2 linked regions of the Saccharomyces cerevisiae S288C genome follow. The protein of the gene in region 1 purifies or fractionates together with the protein of each later gene. This does not show direct contact. Each region holds a gene or a part of one and is shown on either strand. Other genes may lie near its edges. The genes, in order: PRS3 and PSA1.

Region 1 (10,201 bases):
TTCAATTTGTTTATGAATTCATCCAATCTCTGTTCATTGCTTGCCGCAATTACGCAGTCATCAACATAGACTGCAATCATTAGATTTTTATCCTCGGTTTGGTATAATCCCGGAGTATAAGAGTTATCTTTCAGTCCAATTCCATTCAAGTATTGTCTTAGATGATCATTCCATTCTTTAGGACTCTGTTTTAGACCATATAACGCCTTATTTAGCTTGACTACACATCTCCTATCATGCGGATGTGGGATGTATATTTCTTCTTCCAATTTAGCATATAGGAATGCATGATTGATATCCAGGGTCTTCATAAACATATTTCTGTTGTTTGCAATCATTAAGAATATCTTAATATGATTGTGATTTAAAGATTCTGTAGTTATTACACTGTAAGTGTCTGGTGACTGAGTATCACCTCTGCAGACTATCCTAGCCTTATAAATCCCATTTCTTTTCTTTGTGAATATCGTGTTGGTGGGTACTATTAAATTATCAGGGATTTCTGATCTACTGTACTTCACATCGACATCAAATACCTTCATATCTTTTAAATTCTGTAATTCTTTATGATATGCCTGTTTGTATTCATGTTTTTCTTTGAGGTCAGGATTTTTTGAAATAGCTTCATTATAATATATGGCTCTAATTTTTTGTGCTGAAACTGTTTCCATATTATCTGGAATTAATTTCACTCGATTCCTTTTTGAACGCTTCTTATCTCTTTCTAATTCATAGCTTGTTAGACTATTGTTTTTATCGTGTCTTTTCCGTTTTCTTTTCATGTTCAAAGAACTGAATTCTTTGTTTAAGAAGGCACTTTTATTAACTGTTTGTACTGGTGATCCAGATGCTTCAATATTTTGTTCCAACCTTGGTGACACATTTGTTCCATTGTCAGTTGGTACATTTTTATCGGTGACTTTTAATTCTTTTAAGTTATTACCATCCTGACAGTTTGATTCCATATCAGTTTGATCACTCATATCCACAATGTCCTCAATCGGGGGCGGATGATGATTTTCCTTCTCAAACTTTTCAACTTTGTTTGTGGAATAATCATTACTATGGTGATTGTTAATGCTTTCTAAAGTTTTTATTGGTAAACTCGTATCGCCTGTTTTTAAAGAAATCTCATTGTCTGTATTTCGGAATTTTACATTTGTTCCAATGCTCCCTTCTTTAGGAAACGAAGTTTCATGATTTGTTTTATTGAACTGCTCCTGAATTAGTTCGGGTTTTGCGTTGTGCATTGACTCATCTTTGTTAGTAATAGATTCATCGGTGATATCTACACATCTACTGAGTCCAGTGTTTAAGATACTCCCAATATTTTTACTACGAATTCTGTCGGAGATTCTGTTTTCGTCATTGATTTTAATAGTATTTTTACTTCCTACCAGTTTCTCTTGTATAATCGATGGAATTCTGTGGACTTTTTCATCATACTTATCTTCATCAATATGACTTGTATTTATTAATCCTTTCTTATCGATTTCACTGATGGATATTTCAGTCGATGCAAGTTCTGAATTAAAATCCTTGTTTGACAAAATTTTGTTTTTATCAGTTGAGATTGAAGTATTTGTCGTTGAAAGTTCAGATTCAACGTCATAATCTCCAGATTCCTCAACATCAGAAAATACGTAATCCAAGTCCCCTTCTAGGTTATTACTAGGAGATGGGTATTTTGCGTTTGAGTCTATTTGAGATAACTCTTCCTCTGTGAACAAATCTTCCAGGCGAGTAATTGGTTTATTATCATCTTCGTAGTTTTCCAAAGCTTCACATAAGTTTGTGACCGTTTCGATTTGATCTTCTTCATTATCATTATGTGAACTGAATTGATGACTCTTGTAAATATTCTGAGTATTTCTTACTCTACCGTCCATCGTATAGTTGGGAATTGTATAATTATCAGATGTGACAATTTTATTTTTGGATGGTATAAAGAATTTGTATCCATAACTATTTGGATCTTTGCATAGAATTATAGAAGGAAGTCCAGATGGTTTCAATTTTTTGTGATTATGATTCCAAATTATTCCTTTTTCGCCAAATGGTAAGAATGACATTAATCTCACTGTAACAGGTTGACGTGAGATTGCCTTCAATGGTAGTTTACCTGTACTTTTGTGTTCCAGGCAATTTCTTATATTGGTAGCAGAAGTTACTGCGTATTCCCAAAATTTTACTCTTAAGTTACTTTGTCTTAGGAGTGTTGTTGCATCAGTTACTATTGTTCTGATGTATCTTTCTGCTCTTCCATTAGCAGCATGATCTTGTGTAGAAGTAAGTATGTGATGTATTCCTTTTGAAATAAAATATTCTTCTATCTGATCATTTGTGAATTCAGTACCTCTGTCTGAATTAATTTCTCTGACTTTCCTGTCAAATTGTGTTTCCACGTACTGAATATTCTTTCTGATTTGAGCTAAAATAGTTTCAGCATTCTTATTGAAGTGTGTGGAGGTCATGCAATATCTCGTGTTGTTATCCACCATAATAAGCATGTACCTTTTAGTGTCCGCGTTTGAACTTGATACAGGGCCAAATATATCCATGCACCATGATGATCCTGGTTCATGATCAGTACTATGATTATTCATAGACCCGGTATAATGATTTCTTTTCGTGGCTTTAGAGATTTTACAGGTTTGACACCAAAATTCATTTGGTTCTTTGATTAAGTCAAGGGATTCTTCATAATGATTATGTTTTATGGAATTTTCAATTTGTTGAATTCCTGTATGGCCCATTCTTTTATGAGCATCTTCCAAGGTAATAGACCTTTTATTTAGTTTAAATCCAGGAGAAGAAGTAGGTTTTATTGCATTTATTTTTGAATCATCGGAAGGACGTTCAATTAACTCGTTCATTTTTACGTGAATGACACCATTAACTATCTTGGTTTTAATTTTTATGATTTTGTTTCCCAATCTGGTATATTTTCGACTTAAAACCATTTTGGTTTTCTTGGCTAAGTCATAACAGCTGATTATAGTGGATTCTTCTTCCGGTACATAGTAAGTCAATAAACACTTATTGTCAGTATTGTTGTGACCATTCTTGATTTTTATATAGCCATACCCTTTAACAGACACTGAACTGTTTTTCCCAATACCAAAAAATCGTGTACTGCGATTACTGTCTTCGTAATTATGCAGTAAGGTTTTGTCATTGGTAATGTTTACGCCGGAACCGGTATCAATAATTACCAGTTTTTTGCTGTTGTACACTTTGTTTGACTTTTTTTGTGTCTTGTTCCAAGACTTTTGTTCGTTTTGCACTGGACTTAAGTTGTTGTTGTCTCTGTGCACCTTGTAGATAATAGGTTTTTGAGAAATTGGTCGAGTCAGGCCTAAGTTCCCTATTTGGTTTCTTTTTGCAGTTAATTGAGCAATGGAAAACAGATTTGCAATACATGCAGCTATTTTCTATTTGATCGTCTGCAATTGGGCTCAAATCAATTACTGTTTCAATAACAGTATTGATTAGAAATTCTTCGTGATTAATTCCTACGTTATGTGGAATGTTGTACAAACGTTGTTTCACAGAATTTCTTAAGGATTCATGTAAGGTTCCCATGATAGCTTCTTGTAGGTAATCCTTTAGATTAGGACAATCTTGGCAGCATTTAGAAAAAATCCATTTTTCCATTAGTACCAACTTTTGAAGTTTATTCATTAACAATGCGGAATTTCTACATGTTGTATCAACCAAAACCTTTTCCCAGGCTCTAATTCTGACATCTCTACCATGTAAACTTCTATATTTGTTTTTTAAACCATCGATTATCCTAAAAATGTCAGTTGTATTTGTGTTCATGATATCTAAACTTTCACCGAGTCCTTCTTTGATTATCTTGCACAAGATTTCATTTTCACGAGGATCGATTTCTATGATATCATTTTCAAAGACATCATCAAATTGATATTTCTTGATGAATTTTTTAAAATTGTTTAAGAGAATAGGAATGTTCTCGACATTATTAGTCCTATAATCAAAAACACAATCCTTAGGGTAGAATCTTTTGTTGGTTGAAGTTAACGTATCGAATAAATAGTAAGTCCCTGTAGCATCTATATGTTCATGTAATATATTATTGTTCTCGTTTGTTTCCAATAATTGTATCTTTTCAACTAGATCCACAATCCTATTCTCAACCTTGTCAATGGTTTCTCCGAGTTTTAATAATTTTTCAGCTAGCATCTGAATATCATCAGTCTCAGAAAGTTTTTCCTCTTCTGCCTTTAAACCATTTAGTATGGTTTTAAACCTATTTAAGTTTCTTTGATATTGTTTCACCTGTTCATCTTTAATAGAAACTTTTCTTAATGATGATGGCGTCTGTCTGACAGTATCATTTGTTTTGACTTTCGATTGAATCCGCGCAGAAATGTTGTCGTCAATAACATTTCTTGTTTCATCCCTCACTGGGGTCGCCATGTTGATAATTAGAGGTAAAAAATTAGTATTAATGAAGAAGTGAGTACTGATCTTCTTATACTAAATAAGAGAGGTATATAAAACACACGCCGATTGGTCATATTAATTATGACCAATATAATAGTGATTCCGGTAGTTACTATACATTGATGTGACGACTCATATTCCTCATATATGTACCTACCATAACATGTTCAACTAATAGGTCTTTAACACCGCTTCAGTATTGTCTGAGCTTCTCGTTTAACATTCCTTCTGCAATAGGCGCAATCACACTTAAACGTATACGAGTTGTACATTAATATACGATGTAAGCATTAGATTGTTACCATAGCAACTCATGTCACTATCAATTACTCTCGTTCCAACAGTATGATTCATATTTTATATAATATATATAAGATAAGTAACATTCCGTGAATTAATCTGATAAACTGTTTTGACAACTGGTTACTTCCCTAAGACTGTTTGTATTAGGATTGTCAAGACACTCCGGTATTACTCGAGCCCGTAATACAACATAATCAATAAGAATTTGGTTTCGTGGTCTAGTCGGTTATGGCATCTGCTTAACACGCAGAACGTCCCCAGTTCGATCCTGGGCGAAATCAATTTTTTTTGAATTTTTTTTTTTTCTTTAGAAAAATGTATAGTGGATTTTCGTAGCTTTATGTTAAGAGTACAGCAACGGCATTATTATTCAATAAGCATTATAAAACAGATCGATTTGAATATTACCGGAGGCCCTCTGAGCTTTCTTATTTGTTTATCATTTCGATAAAAGGGGCAGTAGGTGTTTGCTTTACTTCCAGTATAAACTAACGAAGAATAAGGCTGAAGCAATTGTTATGACGCCTTCTAATATGGATGATAATACCAGCGGATTCATGAAATTTATTAACCCTCAATGCCAAGAGGAGGATTGTTGTATCAGAAATAGTCTATTCCAAGAAGATAGCAAATGTATAAAACAACAACCAGACCTATTGAGCGAGCAAACAGCACCCTTCCCAATTTTGGAAGACCAGTGTCCTGCTTTGAACCTTGACAGATCAAATAATGATTTGCTATTACAGAACAACATATCTTTCCCTAAGGGTAGTGATCTTCAAGCAATTCAACTAACCCCTATTTCAGGCGACTACTCTACCTATGTTATGGCAGATAACAATAATAATGATAATGATAGTTATAGTAATACAAATTATTTTTCTAAAAATAATGGTATATCTCCAAGTTCGAGGAGTCCCTCAGTTGCTCATAATGAGAATGTTCCAGATGACTCTAAGGCAAAGAAAAAGGCTCAAAACAGAGCCGCCCAAAAAGCCTTCAGAGAGAGAAAAGAAGCCAGAATGAAAGAATTACAAGATAAATTGTTAGAAAGTGAAAGGAACCGCCAAAGTTTATTGAAAGAAATTGAGGAACTAAGAAAGGCAAATACTGAAATCAACGCAGAGAACAGACTGCTACTGCGGAGTGGTAATGAAAATTTTTCAAAGGACATAGAAGATGATACCAACTACAAATATTCTTTCCCAACGAAAGATGAATTTTTTACCTCTATGGTCCTGGAAAGCAAACTGAATCACAAAGGCAAGTATTCGCTAAAGGATAATGAAATTATGAAGCGAAATACCCAGTATACTGACGAAGCAGGAAGACATGTACTAACAGTCCCCGCCACCTGGGAGTATCTTTACAAACTTTCAGAAGAGAGGGACTTTGATGTGACATACGTTATGAGCAAATTGCAAGGACAAGAATGTTGTCATACCCATGGACCTGCGTATCCAAGAAGTTTAATCGATTTTCTAGTGGAGGAAGCTACTTTGAATGAATGAATAGACTTTGACAAAAATAACTTACAAACACTAAATAAGAAAGGGCAGGCAACATCTTCATGAGGCAAACCAGGTTCTTTTTTTATTGACTTCGAAGTATACATTTTCATCGCATAATTGACACACAATACGCCCTTTACCATTCCAACCTACTACACCTTTTACTTATATAAGTGTATAAACTATGTTCTTACGCGGTGTTTTTAGGGGACGGCCTGTTATAAAATGGAAAATATAAAAATGAAATTTCACCCGCGGATTAAGTAAAAGTTCAAAGGAAAACACATAGAGGCAATAACGGAATAGTAGCATTGAATGTATTACTTTCTGGTTGGCCCTCACATCTATGGATCAATTTGAGTATATCATTACTTTAGAATTTGGAAACCAAAATCAGGTTGAATCCGCTTATCAAATTTTCAAGAGTATTCCGAAAAAGTTGAAGGCAAAAAGTATCGGGGAAGAAAGTATTAAAAGTAATAATCAAGACTGGCAGGATTGGAGAGTCTGTGACTTGGAAATAGACATGATAACTGATTTCAAAAATCAAACATCAAAAGAAGAGGAAAGTGATTTGATTACTTCACAATACTTAGGCCATGGGATAATAAGGCTATTCAAGCTAAGCAATGCCAATAATACTCTTAATGAGAAGGAGATTTTGACTATCCCGGGAGATGATACTATGATATGTATCCTGTTTGTTCCAACTTATTTTACCGTTCACGATTTATTGCATTTTTATATTGGTGATGATATTGTTAATAAGCAAGTTTCAAACTTTCGTATATTACGAAATCAGCAGAAGGGAATGGGTTTTAATTTCACGGTCTTAATTAAATTCAGGAATGCACTTGATGCGAAAAATTTCAAGGAAGAGTTCAATGGCAAAAGTTTCAGCAGGATGGATCCCGAAACATGCCATGTGATCTCTGTAAAAGAAATAGTTTTTCAAAAAAAGCTCTTCCAAAGACCAGCCGCTAACGAGGACTTCCCCTATCTGCTTACTGATCCATTCACTGTTAAGAAAAAAAAGGAACTGGTAAAAGTCGAACTCCCCACATGTCCCGTTTGCCTTGAAAGAATGGATTCAGAAACTACTGGATTAGTAACGATCCCGTGCCAGCACACTTTTCATTGCCAATGCTTAAATAAGTGGAAGAATTCAAGGTGTCCAGTGTGTCGACATTCAAGTCTGCGGCTAAGCAGGGAATCATTATTGAAACAGGCAGGTGATTCCGCACATTGTGCAACATGTGGTTCCACTGATAATCTATGGATTTGCTTGATCTGCGGTAATGTTGGATGCGGTCGTTACAATTCCAAACACGCAATCAAGCATTATGAAGAAACTTTACATTGTTTTGCGATGGATATACGGACACAAAGAGTGTGGGATTATGCGGGTGATAATTATGTCCATCGCCTAGTTCAAAATGAAGTTGATGGGAAGTTAGTAGAGGTCGGCGGCTCCGGTGACGATGACAACAATGATATAGGCAACTCCGATGAACTACAAAATGTTGTTTACGGGAACAGGAGCAAAAACGGTGAGAAATCGAACTCTAATAAAAAAGATGGCGAGCTGGCGGCAAATTTTTTAAGGCATAGGGAGTATCATCTAGAATATGTGCAAGTCCTAATATCTCAATTAGAGTCTCAAAGAGAATATTATGAACTGAAATTACAAGAAAAAGATCAAACTGCGTCTGATTCTTCGAATGTTGAAAGTTTGAAGAAGTCTATGGAAGATTTGAAACTCCAATTTCAGGTCACTCAAAAGGAGTGGCAGAAAAGGGAAATGGCCCAGAAATCTAAGCTTGAGGAAGATATGTTAGTAATCGAAGGACTACAAGCGAACCTAGATCACTTATCAAAAAAACAAGAGCAGTTAGAGCGAGAAAACAAAGCGTTAGAAGAGTCTAAACAAGATTTGGAAGAGCAAGTCAAGGACCTAATGTTTTATCTAGATTCTCAAGAAAAATTCAAAGACGCTGATGAGAGTGTAAAAGAAGGTACCATCCTAATACAGCAACCACATGGGGCAGCACAGGCATCCAAAAGCAAGAAGAAGCGCAACAAAAATAAAAAAGCAGGGAAATGATTATCTTCATCACCGCCATACCATTCTTGCATTCTAAATTTATTATATCTCTGTGTACGGCAGGCTCATCGATTTTTCTTTTCTTTTTTTTTTTTTTTTTTTTTTGCCTGCGAAAATTTTCCAGTCGAATAGTAAGTAATAGGATGAGTTTTATAAAGTTATGATTGCGAACGGTATTATTCGCTAAACTCGTATCTGTTTATAATCACGTACCCTCTTATTTACTTACTTTTTCTTGAATATATCTAAGAAAGATTCATACTCTTTTTTCTACGTACTTTGCCAGCGCAGGATAAACGAACCTACCCATTCAAACTGAGCCTCATATATTCACTTAGGATTACAAAATGCCAACAAATTCCATCAAATTATTAGCACCAGATGTCCACCGAGGTTTAGCTGAACTTGTTGCCAAAAGGCTAGGTCTACAGTTAACAAGCAGCAAACTAAAGAGAGATCCAACCGGTGAGGTTTCCTTTTCTATTGGAGAATCTGTTAGGGACCAAGATATCTTTATCATCACGCAAATTGGCTCTGGTGTCGTGAACGATCGTGTTCTAGAACTACTGATCATGATCAATGCTTCGAAGACTGCGTCTGCAAGAAGAATCACTGCTATTATTCCAAATTTCCCATATGCAAGACAAGATAGAAAGGATAAGTCTCGTGCTCCTATTACCGCTAAATTGATGGCCGATATGTTAACAACAGCCGGGTGTGATCATGTTATTACTATGGATTTGCATGCTTCCCAAATTCAAGGGTTCTTCGACGTCCCAGTAGATAATTTATATGCAGAACCAAGCGTAGTTAGGTATATCAAGGAAAATGTCAACTATATGGATTCAATAATAATTTCGCCAGATGCTGGTGGGGCAAAACGTGCTGCCACTTTGGCTGATCGTTTGGATCTAAATTTTGCATTGATCCATAAGGAAAGAGCTCGTGCCAATGAGGTTTCTCGTATGGTTCTTGTTGGGGATGTTACTGATAAGATTTGTATCATTGTTGATGATATGGCCGATACTTGTGGTACTTTAGCTAAGGCTGCTGAAATTCTTTTGGAGAATAGAGCTAAATCTGTTATTGCTATTGTCACGCACGGTGTTTTATCAGGCAGAGCTATTGAAAATATTAACAATTCTAAACTGGATAGAGTTGTTTGCACAAATACTGTTCCATTTGAAGAAAAAATCAAGAAGTGCCCAAAACTGGCAGTCATTGACATCAGTAGTGTGCTGGCTGAAAGTATTCGTCGTTTGCATAATGGTGAAAGTATTTCTTATTTATTTAAGAATTATCCCTTATAAGTGACTGAAGAATAAATGGGGAGAAAAAAAATACTACAAAAATGATGAGTGATTTTCAGAATTTGATAAATACCTACGTATCTGATGTGTATACTTCTCTTCCCACAAATTGCAATGTAATGCCACTATTGCAATGTGCTCCAGTTTTTTTTTTCTGTGAGGATACATGATTCCTCTTACATAGTGGGAATAGAAGAAAACTTTATTCATGCATTTTACCCAAAAGTTTCTCTTGTTTAATATCCATTCATATCCTCCAGCTGAGATTTATGCCAAATCGTTACATTTTCCAAAATAGAGCCATCGGGAACAGTAATTACATCATTTTCATCACATATTATAATGACCGTCCCTTTCAGAGTTATATTACGACCAAAAAACACATTTCCCATCACAGTTAAATGCTCTAATTCCAGAATATTAGGAATATCTGGTACTCCTATCTTAAAAGTCTCATAAGTTGCAAACTCATCGCCCAAGTCGATTGAAGGTAATAATCC
Region 2 (17,969 bases), on another chromosome or scaffold:
GAACATATTTCGAAGGAACTTGTTGAGTACAAATCCCGCTTTCAGAGTCATGACAATCTAGTAGCGAAACTAACAGAAAAATTGAAATCCTTAGCAAATAACTATAAGGATATGCAAGCTGAAAATGAGTCTCTAATAAAAGCTGTAGAAGAGTCAAAAAACGAAAGCAGCATACAATTGTCTAATTTGCAAAATAAAATTGATTCTATGTCACAGGAAAAAGAAAATTTTCAAATAGAAAGAGGCAGTATAGAAAAAAATATCGAACAACTAAAAAAAACCATCTCTGACTTAGAACAAACGAAGGAGGAAATTATCTCAAAATCCGATTCTTCAAAAGATGAATATGAGTCCCAGATTAGTCTCTTGAAAGAAAAATTAGAAACGGCGACAACAGCAAACGATGAAAACGTGAATAAAATCTCAGAATTGACTAAAACTAGGGAAGAGCTGGAAGCCGAGTTAGCAGCTTATAAAAATCTCAAAAATGAACTTGAAACAAAACTAGAAACTTCAGAGAAAGCTTTGAAAGAAGTTAAAGAAAACGAGGAGCATTTAAAAGAAGAGAAAATTCAACTCGAGAAGGAGGCCACTGAAACCAAACAGCAACTCAACAGCCTACGTGCCAATTTAGAATCATTAGAAAAAGAGCATGAAGATTTAGCAGCTCAGTTGAAGAAGTACGAGGAGCAAATTGCCAACAAGGAAAGGCAATATAACGAGGAAATATCTCAATTAAATGATGAGATTACTTCCACTCAACAAGAAAATGAATCAATTAAGAAAAAAAATGACGAACTGGAGGGCGAAGTTAAAGCAATGAAGAGCACTTCAGAGGAACAATCAAATTTGAAAAAGTCAGAGATTGATGCCTTAAATTTGCAAATTAAAGAGCTGAAAAAGAAGAACGAAACGAACGAAGCCAGTTTATTGGAGTCAATCAAAAGTGTAGAATCAGAAACGGTAAAAATTAAAGAATTACAAGACGAATGTAACTTTAAAGAAAAGGAAGTTAGTGAATTGGAAGACAAACTCAAGGCCTCAGAAGATAAGAACTCTAAATATTTGGAGCTACAGAAGGAATCGGAGAAGATAAAAGAAGAACTAGATGCTAAAACGACTGAACTAAAAATTCAATTGGAAAAGATCACTAATTTATCTAAGGCCAAGGAGAAATCAGAATCTGAGTTGTCTAGATTGAAGAAGACATCTTCTGAGGAAAGAAAAAATGCAGAGGAGCAATTGGAAAAATTGAAAAATGAAATACAAATCAAAAATCAGGCCTTCGAAAAGGAAAGAAAGCTACTTAATGAAGGATCTTCAACAATTACACAAGAATATTCTGAAAAGATCAATACTTTGGAAGATGAATTAATTAGGCTACAAAATGAAAACGAATTAAAAGCCAAAGAGATCGATAATACGAGGAGTGAACTAGAGAAGGTTAGTTTAAGCAATGATGAGCTTTTAGAAGAGAAACAAAACACAATAAAAAGCTTACAAGATGAAATTCTTTCATATAAAGACAAAATAACTAGAAATGACGAAAAGCTTCTATCAATAGAGCGAGATAATAAACGAGACCTGGAGAGCTTGAAAGAACAACTCCGGGCTGCACAAGAATCCAAAGCTAAAGTTGAAGAAGGGCTGAAAAAACTTGAGGAAGAATCTTCAAAAGAGAAAGCAGAGCTTGAAAAGTCTAAAGAAATGATGAAAAAGCTAGAGAGTACGATTGAGAGCAATGAAACGGAGTTGAAATCCTCAATGGAAACCATAAGGAAATCAGATGAAAAATTAGAACAGTCGAAAAAAAGTGCTGAGGAGGATATTAAAAACTTGCAACATGAGAAGTCAGATTTGATATCCCGAATCAACGAATCTGAAAAGGATATTGAAGAACTGAAAAGTAAACTGAGGATCGAAGCAAAATCTGGCTCTGAACTAGAAACCGTAAAACAAGAGCTAAATAACGCACAAGAAAAAATAAGGATCAACGCAGAAGAAAATACAGTTTTGAAATCTAAATTAGAAGATATAGAACGTGAACTCAAAGACAAGCAAGCCGAAATAAAAAGTAATCAAGAAGAAAAAGAATTACTAACTTCGCGCCTCAAGGAATTAGAACAGGAATTAGATAGCACCCAACAGAAGGCACAAAAATCCGAGGAAGAACGTAGGGCCGAAGTCAGGAAGTTTCAAGTCGAAAAGTCTCAACTTGATGAAAAAGCCATGTTGCTTGAAACTAAATACAACGATTTGGTGAATAAAGAGCAAGCATGGAAAAGGGATGAAGATACTGTTAAAAAGACAACCGATTCTCAGAGACAAGAAATTGAAAAGTTGGCTAAAGAACTGGATAACTTGAAGGCAGAGAACTCTAAGTTGAAGGAAGCTAACGAAGATCGTTCGGAAATTGATGACTTGATGCTCTTGGTTACTGACCTAGATGAGAAAAACGCCAAATATCGCTCAAAGCTGAAGGATTTGGGCGTTGAAATTAGTTCGGATGAAGAGGATGATGAAGAAGATGATGAAGAAGACGAGGAAGAAGGGCAAGTGGCATGATAGAGTTAAAATATGTGCATAAACAAATCGCTTGAACGATCTGTTTGATTATGTGGGCAGCACTACTTTTTTGTAATTATATATGCATATATACATTTTACTGACACTAAATGTTATATTTTCTATAACATCTAACATTACTTCACGCCTTCTAATTAAAGTATAGTTTGTGCAAACAATATGTGAGCTCACGTAGACAATTGTCTAATATATCATTAATGTCCCTTGCATAGAACTTCCTTTTTTTTTCTCAGCGTCGCAATATCTCTGTCGAGAAACGCTTACGCATTATAATAAGCCAAGGAAAAATAGCGAAAAGCCGATGCAGATCTACAGGAGTGATGAAAGTACTAAAAAGATCAGAAAAGGGAATATTTGTCAAATAACCAAGTCGAAATGGAAAAAAAACATGTCACTGTGCAAATACAAAGTGCTCCCCCCTCCTATATCAAATTGGAAGCAAATGAAAAATTCGTATATATTACAAGTACAATGAACGGCTTATCTTATCAAATTGCGGCTATAGTTTCATACCCAGAAAAGAGAAATTCATCAACTGCAAATAAAGAAGATGGTAAATTACTGTGCAAGGAAAATAAACTAGCATTGTTACTACACGGAAGTCAATCTCACAAGAACGCTATTTATCAAACTTTACTAGCAAAAAGGCTGGCCGAATTCGGATATTGGGTACTAAGAATAGATTTTAGGGGCCAAGGTGATTCCTCAGATAACTGCGACCCTGGCCTTGGTAGGACGCTCGCTCAGGATCTTGAAGATTTGAGTACAGTATACCAAACAGTATCTGACAGGTCTCTTAGGGTGCAATTGTACAAAACTAGTACAATATCACTGGACGTGGTTGTGGCACATTCTAGAGGATCTCTTGCCATGTTCAAATTCTGTCTAAAATTACATGCAGCTGAATCTCCATTACCGTCTCACCTGATCAATTGCGCTGGAAGATATGATGGGAGAGGACTTATTGAACGCTGCACACGACTGCACCCGCATTGGCAAGCAGAAGGTGGGTTTTGGGCGAATGGTCCACGAAATGGCGAATACAAAGACTTTTGGATACCATTAAGTGAGACTTATAGTATCGCTGGCGTTTGCGTTCCGGAATTTGCCACGATACCACAAACTTGTTCAGTAATGTCCTGCTATGGCATGTGTGATCACATAGTGCCAATTAGCGCAGCCTCAAATTATGCAAGGCTTTTCGAGGGCAGACATTCATTGAAACTTATTGAAAATGCGGACCACAATTATTATGGCATTGAAGGTGATCCCAACGCGCTAGGCTTACCGATAAGGAGGGGTAGAGTCAACTACTCACCACTAGTAGTTGATCTAATTATGGAATACCTGCAAGATACATAGACCATACAACTACATATTAATCTAAGATAAGTCTTGTGCTGAGTTTGGTCACTTTGCGGGATCACCCGCATAAAGTCGTCGGCATTGCAGTTTAAGATCAAATAGAGGCAATACTACGCTGTGAGACGATATTTCTGATCGTGATTAAACTGGTATTCCACATGTTCAGCATCCATTAGCCGTTAGAGATAATTCATTTACGTTCCTTTTTTCTCTTGCGCTTGAGATTGTTAGATTGTTAAATTACTACTGCTTTGTTTTTCCATCCGATTAGTATAATCAACAGATGAAAAAATGAAAAAAAGAAAACAAAATCAACATAACTTGCACAAGATTGAGCCATCGGAAAATAAAGCCCATTGTAATTCATATAACTAAACATCATATCAAGTGCGATTGGTCTGCAAAATCGTGCTTAACATTCCGAGACACAACGTAAATCCCAGAAACACAAGCATGTCTAACCAAATATACTCAGCGAGATATTCGGGGGTTGATGTTTATGAATTCATTCATTCTACAGGATCTATCATGAAAAGGAAAAAGGATGATTGGGTCAATGCTACACATATTTTAAAGGCCGCCAATTTTGCCAAGGCTAAAAGAACAAGGATTCTAGAGAAGGAAGTACTTAAGGAAACTCATGAAAAAGTTCAGGGTGGATTTGGTAAATATCAGGGTACATGGGTCCCACTGAACATAGCGAAACAACTGGCAGAAAAATTTAGTGTCTACGATCAGCTGAAACCGTTGTTCGACTTTACGCAAACAGATGGGTCTGCTTCTCCACCTCCTGCTCCAAAACATCACCATGCCTCGAAGGTGGATAGGAAAAAGGCTATTAGAAGTGCAAGTACTTCCGCAATTATGGAAACAAAAAGAAACAACAAGAAAGCCGAGGAAAATCAATTTCAAAGCAGCAAAATATTGGGAAATCCCACGGCTGCACCAAGGAAAAGAGGTAGACCGGTAGGATCTACGAGGGGAAGTAGGCGGAAGTTAGGTGTCAATTTACAACGTTCTCAAAGTGATATGGGATTTCCTAGACCGGCGATACCGAATTCTTCAATATCGACAACGCAACTTCCCTCTATTAGATCCACCATGGGACCACAATCCCCTACATTGGGTATTCTGGAAGAAGAAAGGCACGATTCTCGACAGCAGCAGCCGCAACAAAATAATTCTGCACAGTTCAAAGAAATTGATCTTGAGGACGGCTTATCAAGCGATGTGGAACCTTCACAACAATTACAACAAGTTTTTAATCAAAATACTGGATTTGTACCCCAACAACAATCTTCCTTGATACAGACACAGCAAACAGAATCAATGGCCACGTCCGTATCTTCCTCTCCTTCATTACCTACGTCACCGGGCGATTTTGCCGATAGTAATCCATTTGAAGAGCGATTTCCCGGTGGTGGAACATCTCCTATTATTTCCATGATCCCGCGTTATCCTGTAACTTCAAGGCCTCAAACATCGGATATTAATGATAAAGTTAACAAATACCTTTCAAAATTGGTTGATTATTTTATTTCCAATGAAATGAAGTCAAATAAGTCCCTACCACAAGTGTTATTGCACCCACCTCCACACAGCGCTCCCTATATAGATGCTCCAATCGATCCAGAATTACATACTGCCTTCCATTGGGCTTGTTCTATGGGTAATTTACCAATTGCTGAGGCGTTGTACGAAGCCGGAACAAGTATCAGATCGACAAATTCTCAAGGCCAAACTCCATTGATGAGAAGTTCCTTATTCCACAATTCATACACTAGAAGAACTTTCCCTAGAATTTTCCAGCTACTGCACGAGACCGTATTTGATATCGATTCGCAATCACAAACAGTAATTCACCATATTGTGAAACGAAAATCAACAACACCTTCTGCAGTTTATTATCTTGATGTTGTGCTATCTAAGATCAAGGATTTTTCCCCACAGTATAGAATTGAATTACTTTTAAACACACAAGACAAAAATGGCGATACCGCACTTCATATTGCTTCTAAAAATGGAGATGTTGTTTTTTTTAATACACTGGTCAAAATGGGTGCATTAACTACTATTTCCAATAAGGAAGGATTAACCGCCAATGAAATAATGAATCAACAATATGAGCAAATGATGATACAAAATGGTACAAATCAACATGTCAATTCTTCAAACACGGACTTGAATATCCACGTTAATACAAACAACATTGAAACGAAAAATGATGTTAATTCAATGGTAATCATGTCGCCTGTTTCTCCTTCGGATTACATAACCTATCCATCTCAAATTGCCACCAATATATCAAGAAATATTCCAAATGTAGTGAATTCTATGAAGCAAATGGCTAGCATATACAACGATCTTCATGAACAGCATGACAACGAAATAAAAAGTTTGCAAAAAACTTTAAAAAGCATTTCTAAGACGAAAATACAGGTAAGCCTAAAAACTTTAGAGGTATTGAAAGAGAGCAGTAAAGATGAAAACGGCGAAGCTCAGACTAATGATGACTTCGAAATTTTATCTCGTCTACAAGAACAAAATACTAAGAAATTGAGAAAAAGGCTCATACGATACAAACGGTTGATAAAACAAAAGCTGGAATACAGGCAAACGGTTTTATTGAACAAATTAATAGAAGATGAAACTCAGGCTACCACCAATAACACAGTTGAGAAAGATAATAATACGCTGGAAAGGTTGGAATTGGCTCAAGAACTAACGATGTTGCAATTACAAAGGAAAAACAAATTGAGTTCCTTGGTGAAGAAATTTGAAGACAATGCCAAGATTCATAAATATAGACGGATTATCAGGGAAGGTACGGAAATGAATATTGAAGAAGTAGATAGTTCGCTGGATGTAATACTACAGACATTGATAGCCAACAATAATAAAAATAAGGGCGCAGAACAGATCATCACAATCTCAAACGCGAATAGTCATGCATAAAATATACATAAATAGAGGAACTTTACATGTATCCATATACTGAAAAATAGATAAAACAATGAGATAATATTTATTAACTTCTACGTAAATAAAAAGTTACATAAGGATCAACCTTTTTTTCTTTATTTTCTTTTTTTTTTTTATTTTTCATTTTCAATTACAAACTAAGACATAACAGTAAGCAGTGCTTTTTCTGTGCATGTTTTCCTCTTTTTATAATGATATTGGCTAAAATAAAATTAACAAAAACAGATGAGTGATATAGATTATATTCATTACAGTTCGTTTTCCTAACTCACATAATAATAGCTTCCTTTGGAACATTATCGGAGATAGACTTATGAGGTAAGACTTTACCACCGTTGATGTAGATTTCGTCCTTAACTTCAACGTCGTCACCCAAGACAGTGACACCTTCCAAACGACACCATTGACCAACGGTAGAGTTCCAGCCTACGATGGTAGATTTGACCAAGGAGTGGTTCTTGATGGTGGAGTTGCACAAAACAACAGATCTGGTGATTCTAACACCATCACCGATGGTGACATTAGGACCGATAACCACGTCTGGGCCAATCTTAGCAGTGGAGGAAATCTTAGCGGTTGGGTCGATCAAGGCATTACCAACAATGTTGGCACCTGTAGCCAATTTTTTTGGTTGTCTCTTGGCCAAAGAGTTCAAGTAAAGAACGGTACCAGACAAGAAGTCCTTTGGTTGACCAACATCCATCCAGAAACCTTCCAAATCGAAGGAATATAGTTGTTTTTCTTCGACCAAGATTGGGAAAGTTTCCTTTTCAATTGAAGTTGGCTTCATTTCAATCAAGTCAATGACTTCTGGGTTTAAAATGTACAAACCGGCGTTAATTCTGTTACCAACAAATTCCTTTGGCTTTTCAACAAATCTGTCAATCAAGTTTGGAGTAGCTATATCATGGACAATGACACCGTATTTAGAAGGTTCGTCGACCTTGGTAGCAACAATGGTACCTTTACCACCGTGAGCTTTGTGGAAGTCAGCCAATTCCTTGAATGGATATTCGCAAATGACGTCGGAGTTTAGGACGAAAAATGGAGAGTTGTCCTTCTTCAAAACATCTTCAGCCAATTTCAATGGACCTGCAGTACCTAATGGTTCAGTTTCTACAGAGAAAGTGATGTTAACACCATATTCCTTTTCGTACTTCTTCAAAGTTTCCACCATGACTTCTGGTCTGTAATTAACAGCAAGAACGATGTCAGTAACACCAGCGTTGGCTAAAGCCTCGATTTGGTGTAAAATCATTGGTCTATTACCGAATTCAACCAGTGGCTTTGGAACGGTCAAAGTTAAAGGTCTCAATCTGGTACCGTAACCACCGACTAAAATTAAACCTTTCATTTTTCAATTATATATGTTTTATTTGTTGAAGTTGTAGCTTGTCTTGTGCTGATAATATTTTGTTTGTATAGTCAACAAAATATTTGGACAGAAGAAAAGAGTTAGCGAATGTAAAGTAGTTTGCACACTTGATGAACGTTATCAAAGTCAAAGAGGTGAGAACAAGATAGACAAAGAAAAAAAAAATACAGTTTTGGAGAAAAGAAAACAAGACTATGTGAAACTTCTAACAATGACGTGAAAAGTCTACTATATATATGTTTACAAGAGCGCCACGAGGCAAGGAAAAAAAGAAAACAAAGCGAGAAACCACCAGCTTACTTTACTACCGGTCAGCTGTGGTTCTGTGTCTGTTCGTCTGTTTGTTTGTTTGTTTGTTTATTGCTGCGCTGTTCATGCTGAAAAACGACAAAAACAAAGAAAAAAAAGTTTTTCAGAGATTGAGATAAAAATAAACGTGGTGGCTCCCGAGGCATTTCTAGCTGGCCAGCAAGTACACGGTGGCCGTTTCTTTTGGCGTTTTTTTTTTCTGTTTTCGCGTTCTTCATGCTGTGCGTTGCTGGTGAGGTGGCGTGGACGGTTTGGTTTAGGCAATGATAGAAAAAGCTATAGTCAGAGTTGCAGGAAAGGACGAAAGTAGTCCATTTGGTGCCGTTATCCAAGGGTCTTGCTCTTAGTCTTGCTTTTCACCCAGCACGCGGTAAGAAGGATCGGGTGCAGCATGAAGAATGCTGACTGTACGCGTTTCGATTTGAAGCTTTAGGATGTTCTGTGGGTTGGGTTGGCTCGATCGACAGTGCGTATAGTGACCTTTGAACTGTACCGGGTGGCACGTCGTGCACAGAATCAGAAGTAGTTATAAAAGATTTGTAATTGCGTATATGCAACCAAGTTTAGGCTTTCTCCGTGCCGTTTTTTAAGGTGAAATGTACTCCTCTTGAAAATGTAAAAAAATGGAGCCTCGCAGAGCAGCTTGCCAAGCAGGTTGATACAAGGTGAGCCGCCGAAACATAACGATAAACGTGGTATAGTTTTCGATTGCCTTTAGTTTGGGTGGTCTCAGTGCTGGCACCTGACGAACTATTCGTAGGCAGGAGAACTTGCATCATGTGGTGTTCTTCCGAGATAGGGATGCCGTTTGGTCCTTACGAAAGTCAATGTTCTGGTACTACTAATTATTAACATAGTTCGTTGTATACACACTCTTTACTTTCATAAGAAATAAAAAGCACGTCTAAGAAATCTCTACGTCTTGGCTGCGGCAAGCAACTGCATAGAAAGCACATAGTAGTAACTCTAAAATGCGAGCTTCATACAGACAATTACATAAATGCAACATAGGCAGCATGGGATCCTGGGTTTCATATCGTCAAAGAAAGCCACCAACTGGCTTTACCATAAAAATACGAAAAGAAGTGCACACATTCTTCTTTTTGGCTCATCACAAGTTCTTCAATTTACTGTCATTACTTTTGTTTCCTTGTCAGATAATGTATGGGTGGTGTGTACACCAAGGTATTTTTTTTTTTACTTGGCAGATCTGCAATGCATAATAGAATGGTAAGGGAACGAGTAACAGACGGGAAGCGAATGCGAACACAAAGAATATAAATTTGAAATCTCCTGTTGCAAAGGATTCTCTAGACATTTACTATCTCAGTGACAATTCTCGAGTGAAACAAGAAATTGAGATGGTAGGTCAGCGCCCATACTTCTTGAATCAATTGGAGGAGCGGATAAAGCAAGTTTCCCCCCTCAATGTAAATCATCTTAAGCAAAATTTTAAAATCTAGGCACATATAAAGAGAAAATGGGAATGATTTTGCTGGATAGGCTACAGTGTTAGGAATGCAGAATTAGGAACTATAGATGATGCGATTAAAGATATTAAACGAGAAGTGACAGTGGTGGCTTCGACAACGGCAGTCGTGCTCGGTCGACAACGTGTATGTTTTTGCCGAGCAGAGCAGGGAAAGTCCTTCTTTCTGCGCGTGAATCAAAACACATTGGTATCGAATTTAACATATCTGGGTGAGGAATGGACAATCCTAATAAAGTACTGGAGGTTTGTCTGTATTTCCAAGTTCTTGCTTGTAGAAACTGCTTTCTTTTCTCTTTTCCTGCAGCGGTCGAACATATGTGATTATTGATTAGCCATTTGTTCCAAGTCATATAGTAGTATTACGTGTTCAGATGCGGTGTTAGCGTATCTTTTTGTTAAATAAAATATCATTGTGCCGTTGCCGCCCTACCTGCCAAGGGTCAAAGAAGGCACCTTTATACGATGCCACCTTTTTATAGTATTCTACTACAGAGTCATCGTTCACCAGTTACTGTTCATTCTACTAAATTAGTATGGCGTGTTGCATAGAAGGAAGCATGAATTACAAGATCAGTAGAACAAAAAGTTCAACTGTTTGGAATTTAGTTGAACATGTGACGAAAGCTCTGCTACTAAGACAGGGGCAAAAAATAACAATATGTAAGCATAAGAAATGGGTCAATGTTGGGATACTTGGTGAATTCCGTTCTTTTTAGAAGCGGATTTTCTTATTCGTTTATATGTTGCCATTCATTACCCTATCATATTATGAATCTTCACATTTTATTTTCCATAAGATCTGATGACTGTTTCCCAATCACCTTACATCATATATGATAATGTACAATTGATATGAAGAATAGCAGTCGATGGATGATATTTTATTCTTATTATCAACATGTACAAAGTGTTGGAACGGTAAAGACCAGTGCAAATCTGATAAAACTTTAAAATAACATGGACAAATTTATGTCCAGGATTCTCCGAAGAACTCATCCTTGTTAGCTCAGTTGGTAGAGCGTTCGGCTTTTAAGCGCATTTGCTTAAGCAAGGATACCGAAATGTCAGGGGTTCGAGCCCCCTATGAGGAGTTCTTTCTTTTTTTCTCTCAATTTTTAACCGGTACCTTTAAAAGGGTATCAAAAACAATAGCATAGCATAAAAGAAATAAGTGCAATTTATTGGTGTCATTTATATAAGCTATGAATTTTAAAAAAAATAAATGTAGCAGTTTCTTTTTTGTTTAAATTCTGAGTTTTCTACTTTTTAATTTCCAAAATACTACAGCTGAAAGAACAGCGGATACAACGAATGCGATACTGCTGTACTTGTAGACAGCCGAAATACAGGACGGATTTCGCAGATCTCCTCCGCCACTCATACAGCGAGAATCGTAAAATTTGGCATACAACATGCAAAATATCATAGAACCTATAGCAGGTGCAATTAGTAAGCTACCGTAAACAGTCCCGAATGAGCGTTCGCCCCATACTAACAGGACCAGCGTCGGATAAACAGTGAAAAGTCCACCGTATACAATTCCAACCAATGATCCTGTAGGTACTAGCCCCCAGGGTGACGCTGAAGAGGTCATTTTCAATAAAAACAGTTGTGCACATACCCCTAATGAAAGGAAAGTCAACAGGATCCATTTAATTGATATTTTTTTCTTGGCGAAGAAGTCTGCCACTATGCCTGTGAGCAATCTCGTAAAAGTGGAAGATAGCGCGTATGTGGATAACAACTTTGTAGATAAGGTTGGCGCATCTAATTGGACTAGCAGGTTAGTCAGTGATCCCATATTGGCAATAAACATCTCGAGGGGCCCAAGTGATAACAAAATTGATACCGCTAGGATATATGTCACAGGATCACTAAAGATCCTTAGCATCGTCTGCGTAAACTTTTCTTGAACATGATTACTTCGTTCTAACAGCGGTGATTGTTCCACATCAGTTTGATCATCCAGCCGTTTTTGGTTGTCTTGCTCTTCATTAAAATGCAAAAGTGATACCACGCTGGTGGCTATCCATGCAAGTAGCCCAATAACGACATAAACGAGGGCAAATGTTTGGAATACTCTTCCCAGGTTTAAGTCACTATTGGACGAGGAAGAACTTGCGTTAGAGGACCAGAACCATTTGATTCTTAGCAGTTGAGAACCGACTACAGAAGAAATACCATAACATGTCGTTGGTAAGCTAATGGATAGTAGTTTTGTATGAGGATATAGCTTAGTGCATGTCAGTAAAGCGCTAAAGTATAAAGCGCTTGTTGATATACCTATGAAAACGAAACAAATGATGGATAGATTGAATGATGAGTCACCATTTCCTCCGAGAGATAACTCCGGATGATTAAAAACGTAAGCCAGATATGAATAGCTAGGTATGAACCCTATGATGGCTAAAAGACTTAAAGTAATGGGGCCATGAGAATCAGCGATCATCCCCAAGATTGGTGGCGTCAAGTACATCCCCAAATTAGTCATACTAGCGATGGTGTTGATTTGCCATGAGGAATAATTTAAATGTTTCTGCCACGGTTGAGAGTAAAGAGATATCAAAGTAATGAAGCCAGTTGACACCGCAGATAATAGCGAAAAGATGTATGCAACACGATGTGATGACTGAAGAGACAAAACATGGGGTAAGAGTAAGCGCGTATGGTATGAAAGGTAGTGCTCCACCTTTGATAGAGGCATGATTTGCACTTGGAAAATGGTTATTGCTATAAAATGATATGAAAGGAAACTAGTCTCGATGAAACGTTAGAAGTTGCTGTCTGAGTAGCGGTCTCTGTTATCTTGTATTTACACTGTATAATAGTTTTTCTTGTAGGGCAAAAAGAAAGGTACTAATTTCCGAACGATGCGAAAAGCCGCTAGCATCGGAAAGGCTAAGTGAACTATGCAATAAAGACTAAGAGAAAAAGCAAAGAAAGGCGTCTTAACACAGTATACATTTTTCGACATTATGAATTATAAAATTTTTATTTACGCTTGTAAAATAATATTTTCATTTCTTCTATTTTCCTCTTTTCTTCGTTTTCTTGACTTCATACTTCATTTTTTGTTTGACTCCTTTTTGCGTTATGAAACGTGATGCTTCGATATTCTCATTGGTTTCTTAAAACTTTAGCAATATCGGACAAACAGCCGTATTTTTTATTCTTATTTTTACTGCTTGATACAGTACCCCAGTCAGTGGCTGTTGAAACTCTGCCACTTGCCGTTTCTGATAGTACTTGCTTATAAGTTTTCATTGAATGACTTTTTTCACCAGCGGTATAGCTCTGAAATAATTTGTGCATATACGATCTAACTTCTTCTCTATTGTAAGGTTGTTTATTCGCTCTTTTAAATTTCTTATTTGTGGATGATCCATTGGCGGTGGAACTACCCTTTATATTAGCAGGCGGCGCGGTAGATGCGATGGTTTTAGTCTTCGTATTAGCAGGTTGTACAGCCACGGAATCATCTTTTCGTGCCTGCTGTTGCTGTTGCTGTTGCCTTGGAAGGGCTTTGGCAGCTGCCTGCGCCCAACCTGTTAATTTTGGCTTCTGAGGAAGCACAGCGGGCGTTGGACCATTTGAATTTGGACCTGAAGCAGATAAAGTAGCCTTCAAAGTCGAGGAGGTTCTGCCATCTACACTGGTTGTTGAGGTTGTTGTCATTTCGTACTAGATTAAAGGGAAAATTGTATCGTAAATAAGTAATAAAGTTAATGAAAATTCGGAAACAAAAATGGATAGATATTAAACAGTGAACAAATGAAAAATTTCAGAAAAAAAGAATTAAAAAAAAAAAGGGAAAAAATATGCACAAGATCGTATTATTTGTTGTTCCTCGTATTTTTCTTTCTATTTAGTCTCACATTTTTGACACATGCCTGGTGTTATATATACATTACAATGGAAAGTTCTTTTCTCTTTCTCCGAATAAAGTAGCGGTCTATTGATCACTTCTTACGCTGGGTATATGAGTCGTAATAAATAAAATCATCAGAATCATTCGTAAGTCATTTTACTTTTTTAAAAAGATAATTACAGTTTTTGGGTCTATATACTACTCTAAAAATGTGGTGGTGGCTTAATGCATCTTTTTTACAGATGAACCTTCGTTATGGGTATTGACATCGTTGCTAATGCTGACAGAAGGCACAGGCTCATTCTTGATTTTCTTGTTCACTTTCTTGTCATGTTGAAGAGCGGCATACTCAATAGCTTGTGGTGGGAGGGTTGTATCGTTGATGGCGGGAGAGTAGCCAATCTCCTTCAAAGTGTCAACCATTTGATCTCTAACTTTTTCAGCAAATTCACCAATTTTGTCCTTTGTTAAGTTCTCGGTTGAAATAGGTTTTAAAATTCTAACAATCATACAGCCTCTGTTGAAGACCCCATATTTAGGACTTACTAAAGTACTGGTATTGGAAACAACCACTGGAACAATGGGGATCTTACCCTGTTGTGCCAAATGGAAAGCACCCTTCTTGAAAGGCAACATTGTCAGCTCACTCGTGTAAGACCTGGTACCCTCAGGAAAAACCCATAGAGCACGCTTGTTTTTCTTAACATTTTCTAAACCTTTATTCAAGGTGTCAATGGCTTCTTGCCTTTTAGATCTGTCTAAGAAATATGTACCACTCAAAGCCATGAACCAACCCAGAAAGGGGACGTATTTCAAAGACTTCTTGGCAGTAACTGTGCAACCAGGGGGGAAAATCCTACCTAACATGAAGATATCCAAGGTGGATTGGTGATTGGCAATCATAATATATGGCTTCTTGGCCAAATTCTCCTCGCCAACGACCTTGACGTCAAGGCCAAGCATCAATTTCATGACATGGTAAAAACAACGCGCAGTAATCCACTGAGCCAAATGTTGCTTACCGATTAACGTGCAAAGGATAGAGGCGATTACACCGTAAAAGCCACAGCCTGCAAGCGCCAGTACGACCAACACGGACCTCAAGTAATACAAGAACCTACCTATCACACTCATTATTTTTTTGCTCGAATTCACTGACGGAGGGAAACCACTAAACTTCTCTATTGAAGAATTCCCCCTTCACCTTAAACCCTTCCTAATATAAGTATTTTGAACACCATACCATATTCTCAACAAAACAAAGGAAGCATAATTGATATCATCATTCACGAGATCCATCTCGTGACCGTGAAAAAATTTTCGTCTTCGTCTTAGTGTAATGTGTTCAGCCCAACCTCATCGCAATATCTCAAGATTTTTGAATTACAACCAAATCAAAAGCACAGAGTCGCATCTCATCGCTATGATGTATTTTTTTCTTTTTCCAAAAAATGGGTTCTATTTGGTTCTACTGGAACTAAAGTAGCATCTGCAAAGAAGTAATGTCTGAAAAACCACAACAAGAGGAGCAAGAGAAACCACAATCAAGACGTAATTCATTTGCTGTGATTGAATTTACTCCAGAAGTCTTGGACAGATGTTTAAAGCAAGTGGAATTCTACTTTTCTGAATTCAACTTTCCATATGACAGGTTCTTGCGCACAACAGCGGAAAAAAACGATGGATGGGTCCCCATCAGCACCATCGCCACATTCAACCGTATGAAGAAATATAGACCAGTGGATAAGGTTATCGAAGCACTACGTAGTTCTGAAATTTTGGAAGTATCTGCTGATGGAGAGAACGTCAAGAGACGTGTTCCTTTGGACCTAACTGCTGCCAGAAATGCCAGAATTGAGCAAAACCAACGGACTTTGGCTGTAATGAATTTCCCACATGAGGACGTTGAAGCTTCCCAAATTCCTGAATTGCAGGAGAACTTGGAAGCCTTTTTCAAAAAATTAGGTGAAATCAACCAAGTGCGTTTGAGAAGAGATCACAGAAACAAGAAATTTAATGGTACGGTCTTGGTGGAATTTAAGACAATTCCAGAATGTGAAGCTTTTTTGAAATCGTATTCCAATGACGATGAGTCCAACGAAATTTTGTCATATGAAGGTAAGAAACTGAGTGTTTTGACGAAAAAACAGTTTGATTTACAGAGAGAGGCCTCGAAGTCCAAAAACTTCAGCGGTAGATCAAGATCCTTTAACGGCCATAAGAAGAAAAACTTGCCTAAATTCCCCAAAAATAAGAAGAAAAACGGCAAGGAAGAGTCAAAAGAGGACTCTTCTGCCATTGCCGATGACGATGAGGAGCACAAGGAGTGATTCTTGTGTTTCTTCTGGTTCTCGTATCTCATTATCATAGCATATTAAGAATATATGTACTAACATATGTACTAAACAGAAACACAATATGAATTACAACTAATACTATATTATTTGTCTCCTTTTTTTATTAGTATTAAAAATTACCGTTACTGGTTAAAATGGAATACAGCTCATCCATTTAAAAAAAAAAAAAAATAGAATAACAATAATTAAGCAGAAAAAATGTTAACGAATATAATAAATCGATTTGTCCATTTTCATAAATTTTTTTTTTGTATTATTTCATTATCTGTGCCTCAAAGCATTAACTTTTCTTGCAGTCAGAGAGAGTCTCTTGCGTGGATTATACCAACCGCCATTATCAGCCGGCATAGGGGCCGGCGTAGCATAGTTACTATCAGCTGTAATTATGTATGACCACCCTGGTGTTACGGTAGTATGTTGATCAACGGAGTTTCTTAAAGTGTAGTAATACGTTACCTCACTGGTCGCGTACTTCCTTTTCCATGTCTTTGCTGTTACCTTAGTAGCCGGTTGGAGTTGCATGGGAGCATATTTCACAACACCTGTTTGTAAGTTGTAGGGAACGGTGAAACTCTTAGAATCAATCGTGGCACCCACATCTCCTGTGGTAATTCTTGTTTGTGCCTCTGGTGCAATGGTTATCATACTCGGATTAGCGGCTTTTGTACCAATCATCCCTTTTAGTTTAAATCTGTTAGTGTAATGAATGGTGTAACCGATAGCTGTTTGCGCAAAGACTTGTATGAAGTAAACACCGTCCGTCCCAACGGTGTTTTCTATTATCGCATTGAACTCGTTGTCTGTCAGATCACTCGCACTGAGTGTTTGAAGAGTAGCCATTGCTTCTATCATGGCATTGGTACCCGAACACAGAGTAAACGTGTATCTGACAAAATCCTTTTCCTGTGGTGTGTTATCTGTATGCATCCACTTTACTTTGACAACAGCCTGACTTGTACCAGATAAATCATAAACTGAGTTGGGTTCTGGAGCCACAATGGCCACATCACAATAAGCTGTTCGGAACACTACCGAACAAAATAATGTTAAGAATAATACTATCAGCATACGTTTTACGTAATTGATTTTTTATTATTGTTACCTACCTAAGAAGTCGACGTAATACTTGTATACTTTACTTTTTACTTCTGTGCAACTTTCATCGATACGTTTTTATAAATTTACGTAACTAACTACCTCATGTAATATTATACATGAACGAGCACATAATGTCCAATGTCCCTTACATGTTCGTACTTTCAAAAAAGAAAGAAGAAAATTGGTGAAGAGGAAATGTGCTTTTCTGTTGGAGTTGGTCAACAATATGATGAGGAAGAAGGGAAAGCCGCAAAGACTGGATTTACGCAATGGACTACATTCTCATGTGAAAAAAAGAAGTGCTGCTTCGAAGGTTCGCGACCCTTTCAAGGGACTCGCCGCGATGCAGAGAAAAAAAAAAGAAGAGATAACGTGGGGGCAGCTAAAAAAAGACGAATCGATAATGAGTCCATGACTTGAGCCGGACGGACTTATAATTCGATTCGGGCCTAGGCTTGTACAGCTGAAATAGTGTACAATATAAGGAACTAAACGATCGGAGACCAATCGGAGAGCCGGCAGTTGAATCAGGTGCTT

What was found.
Region 2: the proteins of PRS3 (region 1) and PSA1 purify together in Saccharomyces cerevisiae (affinity purification with mass spectrometry, with the first as the bait; one large-scale study listed by BioGRID). This does not show direct contact.

What each region holds. Positions count from the first base shown.
Region 1 is NC_001140.6:80,154-90,354, reverse strand, and holds PRS3 (ribose phosphate diphosphokinase subunit PRS3), read left to right. Parts: upstream 1-8,738; coding exon 8,739-9,701; downstream 9,702-10,201. Other genes in the region: YHL009W-A (gag protein), read right to left, coding at 3,205-4,446; YAP3 (Yap3p), read left to right, coding at 5,295-6,287; ETP1 (Etp1p), read left to right, coding at 6,634-8,391; YHL012W (UTP--glucose-1-phosphate uridylyltransferase), read right to left, coding at 9,938-10,201. UniProt on the Saccharomyces cerevisiae protein: 5-phosphoribose 1-diphosphate synthase involved in nucleotide, histidine, and tryptophan biosynthesis. Active in heteromultimeric complexes with other 5-phosphoribose 1-diphosphate synthases (PRS2, PRS3, PRS4 and PRS5).
Region 2 is NC_001136.10:348,473-366,441, forward strand, and holds PSA1 (mannose-1-phosphate guanylyltransferase), read right to left. Parts: upstream 8,288-17,969; coding exon 7,202-8,287; downstream 1-7,201. Other genes in the region: USO1 (Uso1p), read left to right, coding at 1-2,565; YDL057W (uncharacterized protein), read left to right, coding at 2,962-3,948; transcription factor MBP1, read left to right, coding at 4,405-6,906; MCH1 (Mch1p), read right to left, coding at 11,353-12,813; PBP4 (Pbp4p), read right to left, coding at 13,227-13,784; 1-acylglycerol-3-phosphate O-acyltransferase SLC1, read right to left, coding at 14,200-15,111; tRNA maturation protein LHP1, read left to right, coding at 15,480-16,307; KNH1 (Knh1p), read right to left, coding at 16,596-17,402. UniProt on the Saccharomyces cerevisiae protein: Involved in cell wall synthesis where it is required for glycosylation. Involved in cell cycle progression through cell-size checkpoint.